Linked DNA regions of Arabidopsis thaliana. The protein of the gene in region 1 binds, or shares a complex with, the protein of each later gene. Each region holds a gene or a part of one and is shown in the gene's direction. Other genes may lie near its edges.

Region 1 (7,879 bases):
CTTCTTGGTGTTTACTAACCTTCTCTTTTTGAGCTCAGCTTTCATTGTCATCGTTTCGGGTTTGGTCCAAAACTACTGAACCCAATGCTTATAAGCAATCTGGTGAAGCTGATCATATCCCGCAAGCACTCCTGCTCCTGCTACTCCAAGAAGCATGTTCGCAGTAACTCCTCTATATAGCGCATAGAACCCTTCCGACTTCAATATCTCTCTTAAGGCATGAATGGTGTTCCGGTATTTAACAGGTTGTCCTGATGTAAGCATCATTCTCCTCCTAAGTGTGTCAAAAGGGTAAGCAATGACGCCTGCAGAGGTAGTAATACTCCAACCCAATAGAAAACTAGCCAAGAAGTTTCCCTGTCACGGAATCAAAGAACCATTTTTAGCTATTTTCTGCTATAGATTAAGAAATAATAACGGCATACATAGATGACATTACCTCTAAGGAACCGACTAACACAATGGGTTTGATGGTGTCGTACATCCCAAAATACATTCCTCGGTAAAGAGTGATTCCCACTATTGACACACCAAATCCACGGTAAAGACCTTTAATACCGTCACTTGACAAAGTTTTACGATACACATCGATCATCCCTTTAAACTGTCTCTTGCCATTAACAGAACATTCCTTTGCATCAGTGCCTAAACGGGTCCGCGCATAATCCAAATGGTACAGAAACAAGGAAGTTGTTGCTCCAGCAGCACTTCCCGAAGCTACATTTCCAGCAAACCACTTCAAGTAACCATCTTTCTCTTTCGAACATCCAAGAAGGTTCTTGAAGTAACCTTTAAATGCAAAGTTGGAAGCCTAAAAGCAATTAAATTTAGTGACAATAAGAATCTAACACAAACCTCAGCACGCTGATCTAAAGTAAGGGTTCTTGGAATGTAGTACCTGTGTAGGGAAATATCGTATGACATTGGCTTGGTTTCCTCTCCAAAAGGACAAAACACCTTCTTCTCTATAGATTCTGGTAAAGCAATTACCCAAACCAGTGTAAGGTCTTATGAGATGTCCAGTCTTTATCATCTCCCCTTGATTCTGCAGTAAAAGCTTCACCCTTTCGATTGGAGCAGCTGCAGATTTGGCAACAATGGCTGCAGCACCACCCATCACAAAATCAGCAGAGAATCTCTCGGATTTTCCGATCAAAGCCATCCTCTTTTCCCTCACCTAATTCTATACCAATAAATATAGAGATGTTATGGGCAAGAGTTTCTTCTGGGTTCTAGAAATATCAAATCCTAAAGCTAAAAAGGAACAAAATTTGATAATAAAAGGAAAGGTTTTGAAGTGAAAAACCTGGAGATTGCTAATTGATTCTCCGCCGCAGAGAGAAGAACTCGGCGGCGAAAGATTGATTTCCAGGTCGAGGAGGAGAAGAAGAGGAGGCGATTTCGTTATTTCGTTTTGAGAAGCCAATAAAATAGAAAAGAGATAATCATTTTCTGTGAATTTCAAAGCTGGAGGTGGAGGACAGGGCAGGAGCAATGGCTGGTTTTTTCTTTCTTTACTTAAAAAAATGGTTTTGTCCTTTTTTAATTTCGAATTTGAAACCAGGATCTGGAAATTTCTGGTTCAATTAAAACCGGACATTTTAAGGAAAACCGGAGATGGTTCGGTATATGGTGACTGTCTGACTGATCTGTGTCTTCTTTTTCATAAAGGTTTAAACTTTTAGTTCCAGAGACTGGGAGCGAAGCAATGGAATCAATGACGCCAATCTCGTGCCCTACGACTCCTCGTTGGAACCAAGACAGACCATTTCTCACTGGTCGCTTCCATCAGGTGCTCGATCTTCAGATGTGCTTGATTTTAGTTCTCTAATTCGTTCAAATTCTATTTAATTGTGAACATTGGTAACTTCTGAGAAAAAGTAGTTTTGACAATGGGTTTATCTCAGGAAACGAGGGCAAGCTCCAAGTTTGCTGATTCTAAGAGGTTTACTTTAGACTCGTCTAGGTATTTTGAAATTTTATACTAAAAATTAGTAATACATCTCTGTTTTAACCTCCCAAAGTCTGTTCCTTTTTCATCTTATTCTAAAGAGTCATTGACCTTTATATTTTGCTTTCAGCAGTTCTGGAGTAGAGCAGGCAATTGGCTGCTATGACACACCGGTTCAGGTTTGTGTTATTTTACAAAGCAAGTCTGTCCCTTTTTTTCTTGGCTTCCACTTATTCTGTGAGATTGTTATTATGTAACCTTGAAACTAGTGTTGGGGTCCTTAAAGCTTGGGTTTGAGTTGTGTAGTTTTTACAAGTTGGCATCATTGTAGGTGAAGTTGGTTTCTCGTTTTCGTGGCATAGACTAGGATAATTGACCTGAGCTAAACAATTGTGGAACTTCCTAGCCTAGGTTTAGAATTGGTGTCACCTCTTTTGTTATGTCCATTTCAGTAACTGTTTTTTATTCCTTTTGGCATGCAGGAGCTTATCGTCATTGATGATCTCTTATCTGCGTTGGTTGGAATTGAAGGGAGATATATTTCAATTAAAAGATTCCATGGGAAGGAGGATAGTATAGCTTTCCAAGTTGATCCATCAATGGATTTGGCACTACAGGTAAGTAGTACTCAACACAATAACTTTTGGTTCCTATCCCAAACATTTTTATCATGATGGTCTACAGTAGTCAACTGCAAAAAATCTGTGATTTCTAACCATGCTTGATCTGTTCTTTCTTAGAGCTACCGGAATTAGTGCATATGTATCATGTATGTACAAAGTCTTTCACATATTGAGACTGTTACAGTGATGTTTGCAAAGTGTATATTTATGTTTATGAAACTTGATGCATTTCATTGGTGTTCTGACTTCTTGAAAGTTCAATTATCTCCGAAGTCCAATAAAATGGACACATGCATTACTATGTTATGTCTAGGATGGTTCTCTCTTTTGAATAGGATTTTTAGAGATGTTATAACGGATTAACATTGTAATTCTTTATTTAATTGGCTCTTCTCATATATATTGACCGTTGCAAATAATTTTGCAGGAATTGGCGAAAAGAATATTTCCTTTATGTGAATATTATCTGCTGATTGACCAATTTGTGGAGTCAAGCTCGCAGTTCAAGAACGGGCTAGTTAACCATGCATTCGCGGCTGCACTCAGGGCACTCCTCCTTGTATGTGATATAGGTTGCTAGCTTTGTGGAAATTGTGATCCATTGTTTGTTGAGTTATTTTTCGTTCCCTTTCTGTTACAGATGGGGGATTTTGCGAACTGGATATGGATTTTTTTAACTAATAGTCAAGTTTGGGGATTTACTCAGTAAACTAAAAATATGAACTTGGAAAGCTCATTTTAGAATGCTCTTAGTTTGTTTATTGGGTTTCTTTCTTGTCCACTGAATTGGTGTTTTTTTATCACATTTCTGAGTGTGTGTATATGCATATGTATGAATATCTAAGATGACACATATAGCTCTTACTGTCTTCTTTGTTCCAAGTTCTTACTGTCTCTCTAATCCCTCTCTTACTATTGCCGCATTGAATAAACTGATAGTCTGATTCTTTTCTTTCCATTTCACATCTTGAGTTTCGTGTCTAACACATGTCATGCATTTTTTGGACTGAGGATATCATTTTATGTTAGCTTTGAGGTAATTTGACAACATTCTTTGCTATTGTTACACTAGTATTAACCATCCTCTCTTTTACCAGGATTATCAAGCCATGGTGGCACAATTGGAACATCAATTTCGACTTGGAAGACTTTCTATCCAAGGATTATGGTTTTACTGTCAGGTCTGTCTTTCTTCAAATAATCCAAGCTACAAGTTACGTAAACATTATGCTGATCGATTGTTTTTCGTATCTCTCAGCCCATGATGGGATCCATGCGCGCATTGGCTGCAGTAATTCAGCAGGCTTCAACGAAGCAGTTTGTGGGTTCTGGTGTTCTTAATCTCTTGCAAAGTCAGGTAGATTCCTGCTTTGGTCATTAAAAGTTTTTGGATTTTTTTGGTACTAGAATTAGCTTTTTTATTAAATGTCCTAATCTTGAAGACTATCATGCCTAGGCTAAAGCGATGGCTGGTGATAATTCAGTGAGGTCATTGTTAGAGAAAATGACGGAGTGTGCAAGCAACGCATACCTAAGCATATTGGAAAGGTTGATTACCATGCCTCTTTCTTTCTTGCTCGTAACTAGACTCCCATAAAAAAAACATTGTGCTACAATCTCTGCCCTTTCCCTTTTGTTATTGCTTGGAATGCTCAGATAAATCTAAGTCCAACCTGTGACTATGTTTTTCCTTTGTTTGGATGGAGTGATTAGCGAACATGTTTGTTATCTTTTGGTTTGGCAGATCTGTACATGGTTACCCTATTTGCTAGATCGCTTATATTATTATTCTTTGATGTGTCAACTAACTTTAAATAGTGTTTAATTAAGGTGGGTCTATGAAGGGATCATTGATGATCCGTATGGGGAATTTTTCATTGCCGAGAACAGGTCTCTCAAAAAGGTACTTCGATTGCTCAGCTCGTCTGCACTATTGTTAATTGCTTGATCTAACAATGTCAATTTTTTTTTGTACAGGAGAGCCTCAGTCAGGACTCTACAGCTAAATATTGGAGCCAAAGATACAGCCTTAAGGATACTATTCCTGGCTTCCTAGCAAACATTGCTGCAACAATATTGACCACAGGGAAATATCTAAACGTTATGAGAGAATGTGGGCACAATGTTCAGGTATGATTGTGAATGAATTTCCTGTTTATTAATACAATTAACAGTGTTTGTGACACTGGACCCGACATTGGCTGATTTTTTTTAACAGGTTCCCATATCAGAGAGATCTAAGTTAACAATATTTGGGTCAAATCATCATTATCTTGAATGCATAAAGGCTGCTCACGAATTTGCCAGTATAGAGCTTGTGAATCTCATCAAGGATAAGGTAATACTTATTTTGTTTTATGATGACTGCTTCTTTGATGTCGTTCCTCGTCAATACACCTCTCTGACCATCAGTATATGATTCAGTATGACCTTGTTGGAAGGCTTCGATCTATAAAGCACTATCTTCTTCTCGACCAGGTATGCTGGTTCTGTTCATGAATAACCAGTTATCTTCAGAGTTCTTCAGAATTTCCTAGGCACAAATTTATCAATGTGAAAAGTCTGTTGTTGAGTTGTTTTCTTCAGTCATTGATTTTGGTATAACAATGTAATGAACTACAGGGTGATTTCTTGGTTCATTTTATGGACATTGCTCGAGAGGAGCTCAACAAAAAAGTGCATGAAATATCTGTTGAAAAGTTGCAGGTACTTTTTTCCCCTTTAGAGCATGATTCAAAATATTAGACAAAGCTTCTTACCATTATTAAATCGTTATGGCCTCTACTTGTTTGCTGGAATCTAAATGGATGTGTATTATTTAGTCTTTGCTAGATCTTGCTCTACGTACCACAGCGGCTGCAGCAGATCCTCGTCACGAAGACTTGACTTGTTGTGTGGTGAGCAGTTAATTTGTCTTTTCCTGGATGTGATGAATTTACAGAGTTTGTACATTATATGTTCTCACTTTGTATTCATATCTTAGGATCGAGCTTCATTGCTTACGACTTTGGGAATGCACAAGGACACTGATAGCAATAGTATTGAGGACCCAATGAGCATCACTGGTCTAGAGACATTTTCCTTGAGCTACAAGGTCTGCTCCTTTCTTGCCTTGTCTGCAACTACCTGTTTGTATCTGGATTCGAACTATTTTGTTCGTCGAGATATATATAAGTAATAACACAGCTTAATGGCTATTAATGGTTGTTATATATAACTACTAATGCATTTCTAGAGTCATCATTCATACTTATATAAGTAATCGACAAATGCATATTCGATTGGCTACTCAATTGTTTGATTGTTGGTTGTGGCTTTGTGTTTCAGGTTCAATGGCCACTATCTATTGTCATATCAAAGAAAGCATTGTCAAAGTACCAGTTAATTTTCCGCTTTCTTTTTCATTGCAAACATGTGGAACGCCAGCTTTGTGGTGCTTGGCAGATACATCAAGTAAGGACTGATATAATATTGTGTAGCTTGTAATTTGTTTCAGTTTTGGTTTCTTCTAAAACCATTTTAATCATTTTGCTTCGCTAACAAACTGCTGTGAAAATTCTACAGGGGATTCGGTCTATGAACTCTAAGGGTACAGCAATTCTTAGATCATCGCTTCTCTGCCGTAGCATGCTTAAATTCATCAGTAGCCTTCTACATTATCTTACATTCGAGGCAAGTCTGAATGTTCTTTTTGTTTTGTTTTGTTTGTTTTTTAAAACATTTTTTTTTGCTAATAGAATGGAATCTGAATATTTTTTTGTTTTTTAAAGATTCTGATTGTCTATTCATAGATCCTGTTTTCCATTGTGATTTTGCGGTGTAAGTCTCTGGAAAACTAACTTCTAGAATTGCTGACATACACTCTGTATATTGAATCCAGATATCTCTGTAGTCGTAAAAACCATACTTACAAATGTAGGCACTTCTTGCAACTGTGTTTTTCGAGAAATACATTCTTGAAAACGTGATTCTGGAGAAATAAGTACACTATCAATGAACAGAGGAGAGAAATCACACCAGAAGTATATAAAGACATAATTCTTTATGAGATGATTTGGTGTTTATTTTAGCAACTATTGCCTCTCTAAGTTTTTCTAATGTTGTTTTTGCTTGTCTTTATGTGGGATGTCTCTTCAGGTTCTCGAACCAAATTGGCATGTAATGCACGATAGACTACAATCCACAAGGAGTGTAGATGAGGTAAGTGTAGAGACCTGCTTTGTTTTGGTTTGCAGGGAAAACATTCTTCATTGAACAATGTGCCATCATCTTGCAGGTGATACAACATCACGACTTTTTTCTTGATAAATGTCTGAGAGGATGCTTGCTTCTTTTACCTGACGTCCTTAAGGTTTGTCGCTGTTCCACTAAATGTTATGTTTTCTCAGGACAGATGTAACAGTGTGATGTGCTTCTCTTTCGTGCAACAAGAGCAAAAATTCTGAACGCACTAATAATAGTGTAATGTTTATCAATATTTTACACTCATATTTACTGATGGTGCAGAAAATGGAGAAGTTGAAATCAGTGTGTCTGCAATATGCTGCAGCCACACAGTGGTTGATATCATCGTCTATCGACATCAATAGCCAGTCTCATCCACAGAAGACAATGATAAGAGACACAACCGTTACAGAGTCCATATTGTAAGTAGTAACAAGGAATTGTTTTTCAAACTAATGGCTACACTATCTCTACAAAAGCCGTTGCTGTTAGAATTTTTGAACTTCATTATCACGGTATTGTTCTAATATGTCTGTTACGTGTTCTACCAGCAATTTCGAAAGGGAGTTCAACTCGGAGTTGCAGAGCTTAGGACCAGTCTTGAGCAAAGGCTCCCAGGCTGAGCCATACTTGACTCATCTCTCCCAGTGGATCCTTGGTGTTTCGAAAGAATAAGAGGTGAGACTTTAACTAAACAAACTCAGGCAATTCAATTTGTTTTTTAATGTTATCAAATGATATTCAGCTTGAGAAGTTGTTATGAGATGTGTGCGTGTGTTTAGGCTTTTGTTGTCGTTTCTTTATTTTGTTTGTGAACTCCACGATATAAGAACAAGTCTCAGGCTCTCTGTTAAAAATTTGCATTCAAGATTTGTGGGTTTTCACTGCAACTACATGTCTCTTGAGGGAAGTATCTGTGAATCTTTTACTGTGTAACTAAAAAGTAGTTTTGTTCAAATTTTCTTACAATGCATTACTCGCTCACAATAAACCCAGATCCATCTGTTTTACTGGCTAATATACAATAAACAAAATCCAATTATGCAATCCAAAGAGAGAAGTGAAAACACTCTCGACAAAG
Region 2 (5,843 bases), 3.7 Mb from region 1:
ATATAAAACTAAAGTGTTTGAATCCTACACAAAAGAAATCAACATATTCACCTGAGTGGACGAAAACGCACAGTGACAGTGACATTTTCTTTGGACTGCAAAGGCTTAGGTGGTAACTGAGGCTTGCTTCGAACCGATGAAGAAGTAGGGGAGCTATGGCTATCTACAGACGCCTCTTGATAAAGTTTTGAAGACGAGGTTGTTGAAGATGCAGAGGACTCAACAGTCTTTAACTTGCTAAATCCACCATTTCTAGTCTTTGATACTTGTTTAGATCCCATCACAAAACCAAATTCAAACTTCGAGTGACTGAAAAAATGAAGAAAGTACAAAACTTTATCAAGTACAGACTGAAACCAAGCTAACGGAATTATGCTCGACTGTGTAATGAGCTAAAGATTCCTTTTTTTTTGTCAAACTGAGCTAAAGATTCCAAATTGTCATAGAGCAACTTGCAAATTGACAGGAAAGCAATGAAATTGGGAGTTTACAAAGCTCAATCGGTAAGCGAGTGAGAGAATCACAATGAGAGGAATAAGAGAATTACGGAAATGCCACGAGCTTCGAACACTTGGGTTAGGTCGAAAATTGCAATAAAAGAGAAGAAGAGAGGCAAGTGGGTACTAACTCAATGTAGCATCACCGCCGCTAAAAGCCGAATCGCATGCAAAGGATTATGATGATGCAAGAGAGAGTGAGTGATTACGTAGAAGAAGAAGAAGAAGAGGAACTTAAAGAAGAGAAAAGCATAATCATCATTAAAAGAGTAATTAGTTAGATGATTGCGATTGTTGTGTAAAAGAGTGTTTACTTTTTAATAATAATCTCTCGCTTGCCTTTGAAGTTTGAAGTGATAATACCCGAGTTTCAATTGTTTATTCGTTCTTCTCTTAAACTGTAATCACCAAAACATCATTAAGAGATAAAGATAAGAGAAGAATCGTATACGTACACATGTACAATTGTACGTATTTGCCTTCACGGATTTTTCTATGTCATAAATAGCTATAAACTTCTAAACTTTTGTTGTTGAATCAATTATGATTAGATAAGGAAGTAAATTGGTGTGAAAAAGATAAAGATATGGAAATGATAGTAAAGTAGTGTATATATATAAATGGTGTGCAATCTGTAACAAACAGAATATAGAGAAATTAATTAGTGAAAAAAGTAGAAAGTGATTGTTACAGGGAATATTTTTCCACATACGTAAAAATAGGTCTAATATTTTTACTTTTTAATTCCGATCTTGTACTTTTCTTTTTACAATTGATTAAAGTGGAAATAAGCTTCCTTTATTTTCATCTTCATTGATGAAAATAATGAGTAGAGAAACATTTTACTACCTAAAATGAGTAGAGAAATCATTCCTCTATTCAGAGAACAAATGTCTAAAATGAACTGTTTTTATTATTTTGCTCAATAAATACATAAATTTGGTAGATAAAACCAAATAATCTTTTTTAAATGCTAGTTAATTTTTTAAAAAAGTATACATTTTTATTGGTACCTTTTATTGTGAATTAAATATTATGAGGTTTTTTCATATTTATATATTTCTTTATTAATTTTAAAATGGAAAATTCTCAAAATTCCATTAAACAAAAAAATTCTACGTAACATATCAATTAACTTGTGAACTTTTTTTTAATTCAAACATTATTTTTCTCCGTTGTTTCAAATAATATATTTGAAATAAAACTTATAACAAAAAAAATGAGAAGATATTTTGCATAATGTTTTTTTATTCCAATGTTTTTGGATTTCAACATATGTATTCAATTGCCCGCCGAGGAAAAATAATTACATAGCTCTAAAGTCCAAAAGAAGCCCAATCTTTTTTTATTCGTTCACTCACTACTCTCTTCACTCGCCCAAACTCTGCAAAACCTCTTTCGATTTCAAAAATCAAATTCACCAAAAAAACTTCGAAGAACAAAAAAAATCCAAAAAAAGGTGAAATCGAAGAAGAAGAAAAAAAAGGCAAAAGCTTGAATTGATTATGGAAGACGACGATCAGCAGAAGGCTGCAGATCTAGTACAAGAGCTTGTTCTTCGTCTCGTCTCACAAAACCCTCAAACCCCTAATCTCGATCCCAATTCTCCCGCCTTCCTCAAAACCCTTCGTTACGCTTTTCGTATCCTCTCTAGTCGTCTTACTCCTTCCGTCCTCCCTGACGCCACCGCTATCGCTGAGTCTCTCAAACGCCGTCTCGCTACTCAGGGTAAGTCCTCCGACGCACTCGCTTTTGCCGATCTCTACACTAAGTTCGCTTCCAAAACTGGACCTGGCAGTGTCAATAACAAATGGGCTCTTGTTTATTTGCTTAAAATTGTTTCTGACGATCGTAAATCGGCTATAAATGGTCTTGATTCCTCGGTTTTGTTACCTAATTTGGGGATTGGTGATACTGGTAATGGGGTTTTGAGCCGTGGAGAGGCTAAGAAGAAGGATTGGAGTAATGGGGTTTTGTTGGTTAGTAAAGATCCTGAGAATTTGAGGGATATTGCGTTTAGAGAGTATGCCATTTTGGTTAAGGAAGAGAATGAAGTGACGGAGGAGGTTCTAGTGAGGGATGTTTTGTATGCTAGCCAAGGAATTGATGGGAAATATGTCAAATTTAACAGTGAAATCGACGGTTATGCCGTGCAGGAGTCTGTTAAGGTGCCTCGAGCTACGAGGATTATGGTTCGTATGCTCTCTGAGCTTGGTTGGTTGTTTAGAAAGGTTAAGACTTTTATAACTGAGAGTATGGATCGGTTTCCAGCTGAGGATGTGGGAACTGTTGGGCAAGCGTTTTGTGCGGCGTTGCAAGATGAGCTTTCTGATTATTATAAGTTGTTAGCTGTGCTAGAAGCGCAGGCCATGAATCCTATTCCTTTGGTTTCTGAATCAGCAAGCTCAAACAATTACCTTTCTTTGAGGAGGTTGTCGGTATGGTTTGCGGAGCCTATGGTGAAAATGAGACTGATGGCTGTTTTGGTTGACAAGTGTAAGGTTTTGAGAGGTGGGGCGATGGCTGGGGCTATCCATTTGCACGCACAGCATGGTGATCCGCTTGTTCATGATTTTATGATGAGTTTGCTTCGATGTGTGTGTTCTCCGCTATTTGAAATGGTGAGAAGTTGGGTTCTAGAAGGGGAGTTGGAAGATACTTTTGGTGAATTCTTTGTCGTAGGTCAGCCGGTTAAAGTCGATTTGCTTTGGAGAGAAGGCTATAAGCTCCACCCAGCAATGCTTCCATCTTTTATTTCACCAAGTCTAGCTCAGAGAATTCTGAGAACTGGGAAATCTATAAACTTTCTTCGTGTTTGCTGTGATGACCACGGGTGGGCTGATGCAGCTTCAGAAGCAGCAGCTGCCTCTGGGACAACAACTAGGCGAGGAGGTCTCGGGTATGGTGAAACAGATGCACTTGAACATCTTGTAACCGAGGCAGCAAAGAGAATCGACAAGCATCTGTTGGATGTTCTATATAAGAGATATAAATTTAAGGAGCATTGTCTTGCGATTAAGCGTTATTTACTACTTGGTCAAGGTGATTTTGTCCAGTACTTGATGGATATTGTAGGACCCAAGCTTTCTGAGCCAGCCAATAATATTAGTTCATTTGAGCTAGCTGGGTTTCTTGAGGCTGCAATACGAGCATCAAATGCACAGTATGATGACCGTGACATGCTAGACAGATTGAGAGTGAAGATGATGCCTCATGGCAGTGGAGACAGAGGCTGGGATGTATTCTCATTGGAATACGAGGCAAGGGTTCCATTAGATACCGTGTTTACTGAGTCTGTTTTGTCTAAATACCTGAGAGTGTTCAATTTTCTCTGGAAGTTGAAACGGGTAGAGCATGCTCTTATCGGAATTTGGAAGACCATGAAACCAAATTGCATCACTTCGAACTCATTTGTTAAGCTTCAAAGTTCGGTGAAGTTGCAATTACTCTCAGCCCTGAGGCGGTGCCAGGTCCTTTGGAATGAAATGAACCATTTTGTTACTAACTTTCAGTATTACATCATGTTTGAGGTATTGGAGGTATCATGGTCTAATTTCTCAAAAGAGATGGAAGCTGCTAAAGACCTCGATGATCTCTTGGCAGCGCATGAGAAGTACCTCAACGCCATTGTTGGAAAATCTCTTCTGGGTGAACAGTCACAGACCATCCGCGAATCACTTTTCGTCCTGTTTGAGCTTATATTACGGTTCAGGAGTCATGCAGATCGTTTGTATGAAGGAATTCACGAGTTGCAAATAAGGTGTGTTTTGTCTTTTATATTCAAACAAAAGTAGACCTTAAACTATTGCTCAAACATTTTCCTCTGATTTTAGGGTCACAATTTGATCTCTAATATCACCGATTTCCTGCAGATCTAAAGAATCAGGACGAGAAAAAAACAAATCGCAAGAGCCCGGTTCATGGATCAGTGAGGGTAGGAAGGGCTTAACACAGCGTGCTGGAGAATTTCTACAAAGCATGAGTCAAGATATGGACAGTATTGCAAAGGAATACACATCGTCACTTGATGGATTCCTATCTCTCTTGCCTCTGCAACAATCTGTAGATCTCAAGTTTCTCTTTTTCCGGCTTGACTTCACTGAGTTCTACAGCCGATTGCATTCCAAAGGATAAGAAAGTTGAAAGAGTATCAGGTTTAGTTGAAAAGCATATTGCACAATCGCAAGAGAAGAAGACATTATCTACGTCTTTCACTAACCGCTGACTGCAGCATGGGCTCTCCTGAACCAGGGATGCAGAGGTTCTTTTCTTAAAATCTAGGTGCGTGGGAGAATCTGTTTCTTATTTAGAGACTGCCTCATAGATTTTCTGTCTTTTGCATAGATTGTTTTTTCAATGGCTTGTTTCAAAGTTTAGGATTGGGAAACAGATTCTTTGTGTTGGTAAATTGGGGAAGGTTTGTGTTTGAGTTTGTGCTATAAGTCTGATGATCTCCAGCTTTAGTTTTTTTTCTTCTTCTGTGGTTCACTGATTTGTATGATTTGTTTTATGACTTGGTTGATATAAGAAGGAATCAGTTGCTTCTTCATAATGTGTATCTCCATAGTGTAAAAGGCTCCAAACTCTGAATTTTTCACTATCTAGAAGCTTCTGTAGCCACGGCCTGAGATTGAGCACAAGCATTAGCTCACAGTGATTTTAATCCGCAAGCCTTTCTCTTGCAATTAAGAAGAACCTTTGTGATACTCTTCCTCTCATCCACATTGATCTATCTCTGTGTGAATGAAGCATATGAACAACAAAAAACAAGTAGCTTTTGGCAAGAGTTACAGTCTCAAAATCTAAAGCAATCGTGTCCAATTTAAAAGAAAAAACAATTCACGGTTGTCGATTAATTTGCAAGTGCAGGCCAAACTGGAGGTTAACATATAAGGAAAAAAAAAAGGTGAAAAAATTCGTCGCCTGAGAGATTCGAACTCTCGCGGGGAAACCCCATTTACTTAGCAGGCAAACGCCTTAACCACTCGGCCAAAGCGACGATGATGCTCAATTAATGAATTGATTAATTTAATCGTTAATTGAAATTATTAGTATAAAATAGAAATCAAAATGTGAAATTTCTTCCAAAACATTAGCTTTTCATTCACTCGTAGAACTTGTAATAGAGTAGCTCATTTACTTGCCAAACATGGTTGTCTTCAATGTAACTACTACTCTGATTATGCTTGTCCTCCTAATTGAATGGTTGAACAATTGTACCTTGACTTTAGCCATTCTTAATTAACAAAGCTCAATCTCGACGAAAAGAAAAAAAAATGTGAAATTTCTTGATTATCAAAAAAAGGAGTTTTTAAGTTTGAAATTGTATAAAGAAAGAAAATAAGA

What was found. The genes of interacting proteins can lie anywhere in the genome.
Region 2: AT5G17410 (region 1) and SPC98 share a complex: the UniProt entries of both Arabidopsis thaliana proteins name them as parts of the gamma-tubulin complex.

The regions. Positions count from the first base shown.
Region 1 is NC_003076.8:5,728,943-5,736,821, forward strand, and holds AT5G17410 (Spc97 / Spc98 family of spindle pole body (SBP) component), read left to right. Parts: upstream 1-1,667; 5' UTR 1,668-1,708; coding exon 1,709-1,792; intron 1,793-1,907; coding exon 1,908-1,966; intron 1,967-2,081; coding exon 2,082-2,130; intron 2,131-2,433; coding exon 2,434-2,568; intron 2,569-3,001; coding exon 3,002-3,133; intron 3,134-3,671; coding exon 3,672-3,755; intron 3,756-3,832; coding exon 3,833-3,931; intron 3,932-4,030; coding exon 4,031-4,122; intron 4,123-4,404; coding exon 4,405-4,477; intron 4,478-4,551; coding exon 4,552-4,704; intron 4,705-4,792; coding exon 4,793-4,912; intron 4,913-4,998; coding exon 4,999-5,052; intron 5,053-5,196; coding exon 5,197-5,280; intron 5,281-5,396; coding exon 5,397-5,471; intron 5,472-5,557; coding exon 5,558-5,668; intron 5,669-5,901; coding exon 5,902-6,027; intron 6,028-6,138; coding exon 6,139-6,246; exon of another isoform or gene 6,247-6,657; intron 6,658-6,711; coding exon 6,712-6,774; intron 6,775-6,850; coding exon 6,851-6,925; and 6 more. Other genes in the region: ER-ANT1 (endoplasmic reticulum-adenine nucleotide transporter 1), read right to left, coding at 73-357, 440-811, 899-1,162. UniProt on the Arabidopsis thaliana protein: Gamma-tubulin complex is necessary for microtubule nucleation at the microtubule organizing centers (MTOCs). Required for the positioning of the gamma-tubulin-containing complex on pre-existing microtubules and for the proper organization of cortical arrays.
Region 2 is NC_003076.8:2,054,739-2,060,581, forward strand, and holds SPC98 (spindle pole body component 98), read left to right. Parts: upstream 1-1,789; 5' UTR 1,790-2,002; coding exon 2,003-4,257; intron 4,258-4,369; coding exon 4,370-4,631; 3' UTR 4,632-5,121; downstream 5,122-5,843. Other genes in the region: AT5G06670 (P-loop containing nucleoside triphosphate hydrolases superfamily protein), read right to left, coding at 52-281. UniProt on the Arabidopsis thaliana protein: Gamma-tubulin complex is necessary for microtubule nucleation at the microtubule organizing centers (MTOCs). Required for the positioning of the gamma-tubulin-containing complex on pre-existing microtubules and for the proper organization of cortical arrays.